Oryctolagus cuniculus: one gene and its partners. The protein of the gene in region 1 interacts with the protein of each later gene in a biochemical or structural test. Links are inferred from orthologs where the notes say so. Each region holds a gene or a part of one and is shown in the gene's direction. Other genes may lie near its edges.

Region 1 (3,575 bases):
AAAGACCCACCTATCTCATTCCCACTCCCTTCCTGCTAGTCCCCACCCCGTGCCACCATGTCTGCATTTACTTAGGGTTTTGAAAAGCTGTGGAAAAAAATAAATAAAAGCTCTGGATTATTTTTAATGTCATTCAAGTCAGAGGACATTTCAGAGTCATGAGAACTCTACGAGATTTTTTTTTATTTTTTTATTTTTTTTATTTTTGACAGGCAGAGTGGACAGTGAGAGAGAGAGACAGAGAGAAAGATCTTCCTTTTGCCGTTGGTTCACCCTCCAATGGCCGCCGTGGCCGGCGCACTGTGCTGATCCGATGGCAGGAGCCAGGTACTCATCCTGGTCTCCCATGGGGTGCAGGGCCCAAGCACTTGGGCCATCCTCCACTGCACTCCCTGGCCACAGCAGAGGGCTGGCCTGGAAGAGGGGCAACCGGGACAGAATCCGGCGCCCCGACCGGGACTAGAACCCGGTGTGCCGGTGCCACAAGGCGGAGGATTAGCCTAGTGAGCCGCGGCGCCGGCTATGAGGTATTGATATTAGATGTTAATGACATTTTGGATTAAATGTGATATTTTGTACTAGAGTTTTACAGGGATGGGGAACGTTGAGCTGGTGAAATCATTTTGTCCTTTGCCTGCCAAGGCAACCACATGTGGGACTCAAAATCAATGAACCTATTGCAGGCTAATTTTTAAGTTGATAATTTTGTACAGGCTGTGAATGATGTCACAGATACCCTTGGCAGAAAGGGATAGCAGTCACCCAGGACTTAAGGACACCAGTGATAGAGCAGTTTAGAACTGAGAATTATTTTGTATTCCTTGCCAGTTGATTGTTGCGTTTTAACTGTGGTCCTGCAGAACCGCAGCACAGGTGGCAGAACTCTGTTCTGCAGAAGCCTCATTCGTGAATCAGTGCTAGCTGTGGGGGAGCTGGGCTCTTGTTACAGTAGTGGGAGGTGTCCACTTCCAGCCCTCTTGTGTCTGAGATTCCTGATCCTGAGTGAAGCATGTTTCTCTCCATCTTTGCTGTCATTTCCTCCTTTGTAGGCAGGGCTGTGCCTTGCCTTTGGAAGTTGTGAGCAATGAACTATACAGTGTGTTTGAAGATGTCTTTCATTGTGCCTGGTTCCCACAGTGACTCGGTCCAGGAGATGTTCATTTTCTTGCTAGCCTGGTTCTCTTTGTGTTAGGTTGCAGATATATGTATTTCTTGAAGCTTTTGTAAATATTATCACCTTTATCTTCAGTAAGCAGGTAAGCAGCTATGGAGCAAAGAAAAGCTCTGTGTCCAATTGTAGATTATGGAGAACACCTGTCCAGGGCTCTCGAGAAATGAGAAGTGTTTACTTGTGAATATCAAGGGTAAATAAATTAGCACCATTGAATTTGATTAAAAATTTTTTATTTTAATTGAGAAGTTTATATATAAGTTTATAAAAGAGTTTATGAACTTATTTGAAAGCCACTGTGACGCAGAGTGGGTGGGAGTAGAGAGAGAAATGGAGAAAAATCTTGCATCTGCCGGCTCACTCCCTAAATGGCTGCAACAGCCAGCTTTGGAGCCAGGAACTCCATCCGCATCTCCCACATGTGTGGCAGCCATCCATCTTCTCTGCCATCCCAGTACATGAGCAGAAAGCTGGAGTGGAAGTGGACCAGCCAGCACACAGGCAGGCACCCCAGTACGGGATTCCAGTGTCACAAATGGTGGCTTAACTTGCTGCTCAATGACACTGGCACCTATACATGAGTTTTTCAGTGTACAGTAAGTTTTGACAAACGTGAATACTCATATAACCACCATCCCAATTAAGAGACAGGAAAAGAACACTTTCATCACCCTGGTTCCATCATTGCATTTAGGTTTTTTTTTAATTTTTTTTTTTTAACAGGCAGAGTGGATAGTGAGAGAGAGAGAGACAGAGAGAAAGGTCTTCCTTTTGCCGTTGGTTCACCCTCCAATGGCCGCTGCGGCCGGCGCACCGCGCTGATCCGATGGCAGGAGCCAGGTACTTATCCTGGTCTCCCATGGGGTGCAGGGCCCAAGCACTTGGGCCATCCTCCACTGCACTCCCCGGCCACAGCAGAGAGCTGGCCTGGAAGAGGGGCAACCGGGACAGAATTTGGCGCCCCGACCGGGACTAGAACCTGGTGTGCCGGCGCCGCAAGGTGGAGGATTAGCCTATTGAGCCACGGCGCCGGCCGCATTGCATTTAGTTTTAACACTTGTATTTCATTGGGCTCTTAAATTAGGCAGTGAAAGGCCAGTGTTGCAGTGTAGTGATAAAGATGCCACCTACAATGCTGACATCCCATATGGGCACTGGATTGAGTCCTGCTGCTCCACTTCTGATCCAGCTCCATGCTAATGGCCTGGGAAAAGCAGCAGAAGATGGCCCAAGTGGGCTCCTGCTACCCACGTGGGAGACCTGAAGGAAGCTCCTGACTCCTGGCTTCAGCCTGGCCCTGTCCCTGCTATTGCGGCCATTTGGGGAGTGAACCAGTGAGTGGAAGATATCTGATTCTAGTCCTCTGTCTGAAACTCTGACTTGCAAATAAGTAAATAAGTCCTAGAAAAAAGGAAGGAAGGAAGGAAGGTCAGAGTTATAGATGGCTGCAACAGCCGGGACTGGGCCAGGCTGAAGCCGGGAGCCACAAGCTTCTTGCAGGTCTCCCACGTGGGTAGCAGGCCCAAGCTCTTGGACCATTCAGGAGCTGGATTGAAAGTAGAGCAGCCAGTTCTCAAACCGGCACCCAAATGGGATGCTGGTGTCGCAGACAGATGCTTAATTTGCTCTGTCACAACCCTGGCTCCTGACTTTCAGATAAAGAAATAAATATTTTAAAAAAAGTGTAATAGTAAGCCTATATATTGGCCACATAAACAATCCTAATGCTCATACTGACTATTAGCTCTGTGGTATTTGTAATAGAGTGTTTAGATATTTATTGTTGCATTTCATTTGGGATCCAAGTATTTCTTGTACATTTTTTTAAACAAAGGACATGTAGTCCATCAATTATTGTTTTTGAGATTTCCCTTGACTTGTTATGGGTGTTCTAAACAGGATCATTTGTGTTGTATGTTTAAAGGTCTTGTCCAGAAGGCTAAGAAAGCAAAGAACAAGTTGTTGAAACGAGAAGGTGATGATCGAGCAGAATCAGGGACCCAAGGATATGAGTCTTTCAGCTATGGAGGGGTTGATCCTTACATGTGGGAACCCCAAGAACTTGGTAAGAAAATCATTTCATTCTGGCTACCTTGTGCTACGTAGTGTTTTAAGAAGTGGTTGAGGAAGCAGCATAAATCAAAGTGGCCTAACCTTCTCAAGAACCACGTTGAGAAATGAGGGACTGGAAAAGAAGGAGGTGTGCGTGTGCTCTGTCAGTGCTGTTCACCACTATATACGGGTGCTCTCATTGATTCTTCACTGCACCCCACGAGAACCTGCCTGGGGTCAAACAGATGGTGATCTGCACACGTGGGGTGTGATTCCAGGTCTCTGACATCAGCCTGGGCTGGCTCCATTGCTGGGCTGTCTACTCTCACCCGGGACATTGTTGACTAGGGAG
Region 2 (4,184 bases), on another chromosome or scaffold:
TGAGAGCCACGGCTATGGAGGAGGCAGCCCGGCAGCCACTCCCTCACCATACCCCAGAGCCCTGTTGTCACCTCCAGCAAGGGCAGAGGAGCCAAGCAATCCACTTGGCACCACATTCACGCCACCAGGGGCCCCAGGGATGAGGAAGAGACCTTAATGAGTCACCACGGGCCTGTTATGTGCCCTCCTCCCCCCCTCACCAGATACACGTATGTGGGAGGGACAGAGTCCTGGCTCAGGCCTACCTCCAGCCTTGGCAAGGAGTGCCCAGGGGACTCCCTACCCTTCCTACCCAGGGAGGGGTTGCTGGGCTCCGTGCAGCAGGCGCTGGGAGAAGAGCTGGGCACCAGCCAAGCTCCTGGTGGGAATCTCACCCTGCCCCATGCCCCCTGCCCTCCCAAGCCCTCCCAGCTTTCACTTCTCTGATGGTGGCTGCCAGGAGGAGGGGAGCTGTGGATGTTCTAAAGAAAGAAGCACCTGCTAACCAGCTGCAGCCAGATGTGCAGCCAGATTCTGCAGCTCAGCCTCTAGGCTACGACGGGTGATGGCGGCTGTCACAGACAGATTCCATAGGGCTTTTGGGTAGCGTCCCTGAGGAGTGAGAGGAAGAAATAGGAGAGGTACTGGCTTGTGTTGGGAGGTGAGGGGCTGAGGAGGGGAAGGGGGGGCGGGGAGAATAAGGAGAAGTGGCCCTAAACCTGAGGGAGAGGCGTCGGAAATGTCTCAACCTACGTGGGGGTGGGGATTCCAGCTGAGGCAGCAGGTATCCAGCTCTGTATCTGCTTCCAGTCGGGTGTGGGGAGGGGTAGAGGGGCAGAGGTGGTTCTGTGTGTCTAGGGACCAGCCCAACGCAGGAGGGTTTATAAAGCGCCCCCTTCTATGTCACCTAGCATCCCAGAGCGCCTTCCCCATCACACAGTGCCCCCAACTTCAGGAAGCGTGGCCAGGGGCTGCTCCCAGTTAGCGAGTGCACGAGACCCACGCGGCCTCCCGTACGAACTCATTCACATCACGTTTGCCCCCTCCCCAGTTCTACACACACAGTCGTCTGCCCTCTCCCATCGCTCCGCAGCCATTCGCCTTCCCTCGGGGCTCCTGGAACCCGCAGTGACGCGATTAGCAGCCCAGGCCGGCTCCGCCTCGCCCCAGCCGGCTCCACCCTAAGGCCAAGTCCCAAGCAGGCGACGGCTCCGCCCAGTGCTGCGAACTACAAGTCCCGCCGTCCCTCGCTCGCTCTCTCCCGCCTCTCCCGCGACCCTCACCGGCACCGCCTATGGGTCGGCCAGGAGGGCCTCCCATTGGCTTCTCCGCCCTGTCAGTCACCTGGGAGTAAGAGGGGCGGGGCGGAGGTAGAGATCCGGATCCGGAGCGGCTGAAAGGCGGAAGTGGAGGCCGGAGCCTGGGACACCGCCGGGGGGGAGAGGAGCGAAACCTGTCCGAGCCCCGTCCCCAAGTAACGCCGCCGTCCCCGGAGCCGCTGTGAGTGTGCCTGTCCTGGGATCCAGTGTCTCTCCAGCCCAGTTGCCTTTGCGGGGCAGCCCTTCCTTCTGCCCAGCCCTATCTTAGGGGGATACTGACCCCTCCCCCGACCCGTAGCCCCTTCTTAAGGCGCTCCGCAGGCGTCAGGCCACAGGAAGATCCCTTCTTTCCTCGACTTACCTGCCCTTTGTGAACCTTGGGGAAACCCCTGCGGCTCTCCTCTGGCCTGTCCAGTCCAGTCGCGGCGGAGAGGGACCCTGAGTTCCGCTCTCCCTGCTCCCAGAATCGGCCGGTCTTTGCCAGGTGTGCAGGAACCTGCCCCTCTTCTCCCGTAGAGGTGGCGGGGAGGGCTGTCTGTCGCCGTGTCCCCCCCACCCCGGTCCCACAGAAGCAGTTGTCCCCCGCCAGCCCTGGAGAAGTCTTGTCTCGATTTCCTTTGGGGGAGGGTGGTCTGGGGGAGGCGACTCCACGCGCATAGAAGTGTGTGTGCTCCCACAACTCCCGACTCGTTCTCCCTCCTCCAGCCAGAGAGCCAGCCAGGACCTCAGCGGAGTCTGGGGCGCGGGGCACTCCTTGGGAACGAGCAGCCTTCTTGTTTTGTCCCCGCTGTCCCCCGGCCCTGTCCTCTTGAGTGTATCTCTCTTCCTGCCTCTGAAGAATTCAGCTGAGGTTTGCTCAATGCTAGGTCAGGGTGGCTCTGCCCATTCATTATCTTCTGGCTCCCCTACTCCTCCCCCTCGGCTCCAGGCTCAGCCCTGTCCTCCCGAGAGCACGTGAGCGGTTCCCCAAGCTGCCTCTGCGGGACTGCCTTGTCCGCTGGGCTGTAGAGGAGAGAATAAGCCCAGAGAAGTGAGGAGCTGGGGCTTGAAGGACCGTTTCTTTGCTGCTCCCAGACACACACACTCGACCGCCGCCCCAGCAACAGGTCCACCCTCACCGGGGCCTCGCCTCAGTCCCCGGGGCTTGGACGTACTACAGACCAATGAGTCGAGGGCACAGTGGCAGTCTTGGGTTCTTAGCTAATTTCTGTAGCAAGAGGAGTTCCCAAATCTGCTAGAAAGGGCTGCCCTCCCCTCCCCCCGGCTGTTTTGCCATAGGATCCTACTCTGTTGTTTAGGAACTGGGTGTGTGAAATGGCTGCTGTCTCAGACCAGGCTAGACCGTTCTGTTACGTGGCCAAAGTACAGGCCAGAGACTACCTTAATGAGGAGCAGCTTGCCTGAGGCCAGGACTGACCCTTGCTATCTGCAGGGGAGGAAGGGAGGAGAGCCCCACGCTGCCGGAATCGCCGGAGCTCCTGGTGTTCCTGGGCCGCCCTCACTGCCCTTGGCTGCTGCTTCCCAGTGTTAAAGGTGTTTCTGCTTTGAGATCTTTTTTGCTGCTCTGGACAGTTGCTAGTGTGTGGTCCCTACAGTCTTTTGAGCTCGGTCTTGAACGCACTTGTTTCACTTTTTATTGGACAACAAAGCAAAACTTCCTTATTGGGCTCAACAGCTGGATCACGAGCCCTGAGCCCGTGTGGGCTCCTTGGAGACTTTGTCCGCCCTCCTCATCGGACCTGGTGGGGCTGTGGGGCTGAGGGCAGGGCCGCTGGTTCTGACGGGGTGGGCCGTGGCTGGCGGAGCGCTGCAGCAGTGCAGGGATGAGGCCGAGCGGCCGTCCGAGGGGTTCTTCTTTGCGTTGCAGCTCTGACTCGGAAGCAGGCTTCGGGAAGAGCAGCTCCCTGTTCAGAACAGTGGGGAAGGCTGTACAGCTCTGGGTGGCTGTGTAGCCACTCTGGCCTCCAAAAATTAAAGCATCGTAACAGGACGAACCCTGCCTGGCAGAGGGAGGGCTCTGTGTGGGGCAGAAGCCCCTCCTCTCTAACATGTTCCCTCCTTCCCTGGGCCCGTCACAGCGAGCTGGCCTTTTTTCTGCTGCTATACTACAGGGTGATGGTAACTGCTAATTGCTTTAGGTCATTGCAGAGTTGCAGACTTCTTTTCACACACGTCCCTCACACGTTCCTTGGGAGGTAGTGAGATTTGCATTTCCACATTGGAGATGATGCCTAAGACCACGCGGTTAGGAGGTGATGGCGCTGAGGCTTGGGATCTGGGCTCAGATGTGACCTCGGCCTTCCCTAGTGACTGGCCCTTAAATGAATGAACAGGTAGGGTGAGCATCAGGGGCACAGTGCAGGCTCTGAGCCCCTGCACCATCCTTGTCCCTGGCGCTGCTCTGCTTCCCATCTCTTCCCCCATCTTCACCCCGGCCTCCTGGCCTCCTCCTTGGCCCCCTGTGCTCTGCCTGCAGGGGCCCTGACAGGAGTTGGTGCTCTGCAGGGCCCAAGTTCGCTGACATCTGACTGCCGTCAGTTTCCTGGGAACCTGCCGGCTGATGGTTGGAAAGTGAAAGTGAAAGCCACTGGGCTCGGGGGCCTCCTGGGCCCCAGTGAGGGCGGGAGGGCCTCCGGCTGCCCTGCAGTGCTGCCCGAGGTGACGCGCCTTCACTTGAATTTACTGGAAACAAGGAGGTCAGGAGTTCAAGTTCAGCCCTACCAAGCAAGTGCTTCTTAGAAGAGGCTTCTTCCTGTAACCCCTGCCCAGCACACACAGAGGCGGTGTGGTGGGATGGGGGGCACTAGGGCTTTGGAGTCAGCAGGTTCTCCGTTATCTGGACATCTGGGCTCCCCCACTACCAGTGGTGCGACCTTGGGCCAGTTG
Region 3 (4,245 bases), on another chromosome or scaffold:
TCATCTTCATTGCACAATGTTGACCGAGCACTCACAGGATACCTTAGCCCAGGTACACTCCAAAGACAATATTCATGCCTTCACAGCAGGACTGTAAGTTGTAAATTATAAACTGCAAAGCATCCCTTATTCTGGGGAAAAAGCAACGATCAAGGGGAGAGGGGTTGGTTTTAGACGCTTTCCAGAAACTAACTATGATCTGGGATTTTACCAAAGCATGCTTAAGAGGATCTGCTGCAGAGGGCAACAACCAGCTCAGGTTGTGGTCTTTCACCGGAACTTTGTATAAGAACTGACATTCTGGGGCCAGCATTGTATTGTACGCAGCACAGAGGGTCAAGGCACAGGCAGCAGGTTAAGCTGCCACTTGCAATGCTGAGTCTCCTTTTGAACAGCTAGTCTGAACCCAGGCTGCTCTGCTTCCAATCCTTATTTACTAATGCAGGGGATGATGGCCCAAGTACTTAGCCCCTGATACTCTCTTGCGAGACCAGGAAGGAGCTGAAGCCTCTTGGCAGCATAGGCCAGGCCCTGCCATTGCAGCCATTTGGGAAGTGAGTCAGTGGATGGAAGAAATATTGTTACTCTGCCTTTTGAATAAATACATCTTTAAAAAGAATTCCCAGTCTTGTACAAGTTACACAATCTCTGTGCTTCGAGCGCGTTACCTGTAAAGCAGGCACGCCTCATTCATTAATCCCAAAGCCATGCCTGAAGATTCTTAGCTGCCTGGCCACGTGCTAGCCAGGTTCACAGAGGTGAGGACCAGTTTGGGAAGTTAGTGTTAATGTGCCCACACGACGATTCACAAGCTGGTTTCACAAAGACTTGTACCTACTGTAAAACGTTTAGTACTGTAACTCCCAAAGGGAAATCTGAACAACAGGTTTGCTTAACATGTACCCTACCAAAAACAGGTAAGCGCTTCTTACGTGCCAACTGTTTTAATGCTTTGCCACTAAAGACGGCTTTAGGATGCAGAGGGTCCTAGCTTCCTGCCGGCGGTACAAACGACTTACCTTCCTTTACAGACACACCTGGCCTCAGGGACACAGTAGGCGTGTCTCCTGTTACAACCTCCCTCAAAAAAACCCCTTAGGCCAAGTCACCAGGATTGGGGTGGTGCGGGGCGGGATGGAGGGGACTGTGAGCTCACACTTACAACAAAGGGCTGGGCGCAACAAACTCAAGCGCCTTAGGTCTTCCCCCAAAGCAGGGCAGCACGGGATACCCCACCCAGCCCCAGTCACAGGAGCCCAGAGGCCTCCGCCCTGCTGACAAAAGAGCTGCGAGGGCGCGGTCGCGCGCAACCGGCGTGGCGCAGACACAACAAGGCAGTAAAACCCGCCCCAGCGCAGAGCCACGTGACAGCCCGCCGCGCCCCGCCCCCTCCCCGGTAGGGCTGGGTGCGCCTCGAGAGGGGCGGGGAAGCGGATGGGGCGGGACGGACTGGCGCCGACCGGAAGTGACGAAGCGGCGTCTCTCGCTGCGCGCAGCGACGTGGCGGCGGGGCCGGCGCCCGGCTGCGGAAGTGGCTCCCGCGTTGGGACTTGAGTGTTTGTGTTTTGGTTCTTGAAGGAGCCGGCGGCCGGCCTGAGGGGAGGAGGCGGAGGAGGGAGGAGGAGGAGGAGGAAGAATTCGTCGGAACTTGAGCGCCGGCGGCGGAGGAGGAGAAAGGAAAGAGAAAGGCGGAGCGCGGAGAGGCGGAGACGGAGCCCGGCAGGGGCGGCACCACGGCTCCAGCCCCGCACGGTCCGGTGTGAGGCGAGCGACGCGAGGAGACGCCGCCGTCGCCGCCACAGCCTCCGCTTCGCTGCCGTCCTTCGGGCCACGCTTGCTCCCTGCCGCCAGCAAGCTGCGGTGCCGCGGCCCCGCGTGCCGCAGCCGCAGGTAACCAGACCAGCCTTCCCCTGTGCAGAGCGGGTCTGGAGCTGGGCTGAGCCGCGGTCTCCATCCTGCCCGCGGCTGTGCGGGCGGCGGGGCCCCCAGCACGTCCTCCCCGACTTGCGCCCGTCTCCGGGACCACAGAGCTACCGCACCCGGGCCTGTCGGCCTGCCAGCCCTGGTGACTCATGCCGCCAGGGGTTCTGGTGGAGACCGCGATTTGGGGACTGGGTGAGGGAGCCGACGGGTGTCACCCTCTTCCCTTCTCAAGATGGCGCCGCGGAAAGAGTACCGGAGGCCGTGGTTCCGCCCGGCCTCTCCAGACAGCCCGGGGGTCCCAGGGAGAGCCGTGCAGGTTTAAGGGAGGAGGGTGGCGGGACGGCCCAGAGCCCTGGCGGGTACTGTTTGTTCGGGCGATCCGGAGTCGGCTCTCAGCTGCTCAGGTGTTGCAAGCAGGGACCGGGGCCTAGGGCAGGTGTGGATCTGGGGAGCTCCGCCTACCTTCGAAAGATGGGTAATGGAAGGGCTGGGAGGCTCAGCCAGACAACCGCTCTGGAGACTGGCAGGTGGCGAGCCGCAGCTTTAAGGAAATTAAAGGTAACTGGGCCGCCGTACAGCTCCCTTGGTGGGTAAACCAGGAGACCTGCCCTGATGCTGTCTTCCCTGGGAACTGGTCAGCCCCTCGAGACTTTCAGACTTTTTAAGCTCCTAGCATCCTAGTTTACGTATTTGATTTTTTTTGGCCTGGCTTAAGTGGAATCAAACTGTTACACTACTCCGGGAATATTCTGGACTCCTCAGAAACTTTGTTCTTTTCACTGTCGAATGCAGATAGTTTGAACACTTAGGGTTGTTGTAAGCAAAGTACTTGGTAACCATGCCAGGCACAGAATGAGTACCCAGTGATTTTTTGATCAAAGAGGACCTAAAAAGAGCAAAAGAGCACTACAGAACACTAGTTATTTCCAAGTTTAAAAATGCATACAATGCAAAGTCCTTGTTTGGCAAAACTGGGAGAATTCTCAGTAAGTGTGAATACGAGTAAATGCACGCAGTTTTTACCTTGTTAATATTACGCTGTTTTTGATTTATTTCCTGTTAGAGATCCTTGTAGCATAAGGATTCAGTGGCTTCAAAACTTAGAAGGCAAACGTAAATCACAATTTTGCTTGACTTTTTTATGGGTGTCTGGTGTTTTCCCTAAATTTTCAGAAGTACTGTAGAAATTCAGAACATGGTATCCTTGATAAATGATCAGCAGTTTTGTAGATAAGAGGCTGTTGGGAAGTGTTTCAACTATGTTTATTCCTGAAAGCGAATTGGTGCGTTTTCTGCCTATACGACATTCTATTGGTGTTTGACATGTAACCAAAGGGCCACTTTAGTTGTCCATTCAAACCCTGCTGTATGATAGGTACTGTATTAGAGATTATATATATTGTATCACGTGATTAACTGGCAACTATGCAAATTATGTAGTTTGAAAATTAAAAAATTGGCCCAGACAGAAATTGGTACTACCAGGATTAAACTCCCAAGTTTACTGTGTTTGGGACAGTATGGGGAAGTAGTTTTATTTGTACCTTATGGTGTGTGTTCGTTTGTTTTTAAGATTTATTTATTTGAAAGAGTTACACAGAGAGAGGAGAGGAGAGATCGAGAGAGGTCTTCCATCCGCTCGTCCACTCCCCAGATGGCTGCAACAGCCTAAGCTGCGCTGACTCAAAGCCAGGAGCCGGGAGCTTCTTCCTGGTCTCCCATGAGGGTTCAGGGGCCCAAGGACTTGGGCCATCTTCTGCTGGTTTCCCAGTTCATAGCAGAGAGCAGAATCAGAAGTGGAGCAGCCTGGACTCGAACCAGCACCTGTATGAGATGCCAGCACTGCAGGCGGCAGCTTTATCCTCTATGTCACAGTGCCAGCCCCTGTACCTTATGTTTGGAAGCAGCTTAAACATCATTTCATCTGTAAATATATCAGCATGTACTGTTAAAGACGCTTCAAAGCTGGAGTTTTAGATAAAGCCAAGAAGTGAACTTAATTGTCTAGAATTAAGATATCAATATATTAGTGAATTGTCAATAATATGTCTCATAAAAACTAAAATTTTATAGGGAAGGCGAATTTCTTATATGAGGTAACTCAGTGAAGTATAGCTACATTTTTAGAGAGGAAATCATATTTAGTATATTAGTAAGCATATAATCATATTTTTATTAAAGATGTGAATAGGTTGAAAAGTGCTCTTCAAATATTTGCTAATTCCTTTGAAATTGAAAATTAGCACATTTGGGAGCCTTGGTTGTGGTTGTGATGTAGCAGGTAAGCTGCCACCTTCAGTGCCAGCATCCCATATGGGTGCC

Evidence for each region. The genes of interacting proteins can lie anywhere in the genome.
Region 2: the proteins of RBSN (region 1) and RAB5C form a complex in vitro, tested with the Homo sapiens proteins (2 studies listed by BioGRID and IntAct, with this or other methods). The link is inferred for Oryctolagus cuniculus from reciprocal best matches to the Homo sapiens genes RBSN and RAB5C.
Region 3: the proteins of RBSN (region 1) and RAB5A form a complex in vitro, tested with the Homo sapiens proteins (3 studies listed by BioGRID, with this or other methods). The link is inferred for Oryctolagus cuniculus from reciprocal best matches to the Homo sapiens genes RBSN and RAB5A.

The regions. Positions count from the first base shown.
Region 1 is NC_091441.1:113,935,213-113,938,787, reverse strand, and holds part of RBSN (rabenosyn-5), read left to right. Parts: intron 1-3,095; coding exon 3,096-3,236; intron 3,237-3,575. UniProt on the Homo sapiens protein: Rab4/Rab5 effector protein acting in early endocytic membrane fusion and membrane trafficking of recycling endosomes. Required for endosome fusion either homotypically or with clathrin coated vesicles.
Region 2 is NC_091448.1:20,642,900-20,647,083, forward strand, and holds the start of RAB5C (ras-related protein Rab-5C), read left to right. Parts: upstream 1-1,320; 5' UTR 1,321-1,479; intron 1,480-1,659; exon of another isoform or gene 1,660-2,395; intron 2,396-4,184. UniProt on the Homo sapiens protein: The small GTPases Rab are key regulators of intracellular membrane trafficking, from the formation of transport vesicles to their fusion with membranes.
Region 3 is NC_091435.1:155,566,587-155,570,831, forward strand, and holds the start of RAB5A (ras-related protein Rab-5A), read left to right. Parts: upstream 1-1,381; 5' UTR 1,382-1,396; intron 1,397-1,443; exon of another isoform or gene 1,444-1,578; 5' UTR 1,579-1,890; intron 1,891-4,245. UniProt on the Homo sapiens protein: The small GTPases Rab are key regulators of intracellular membrane trafficking, from the formation of transport vesicles to their fusion with membranes.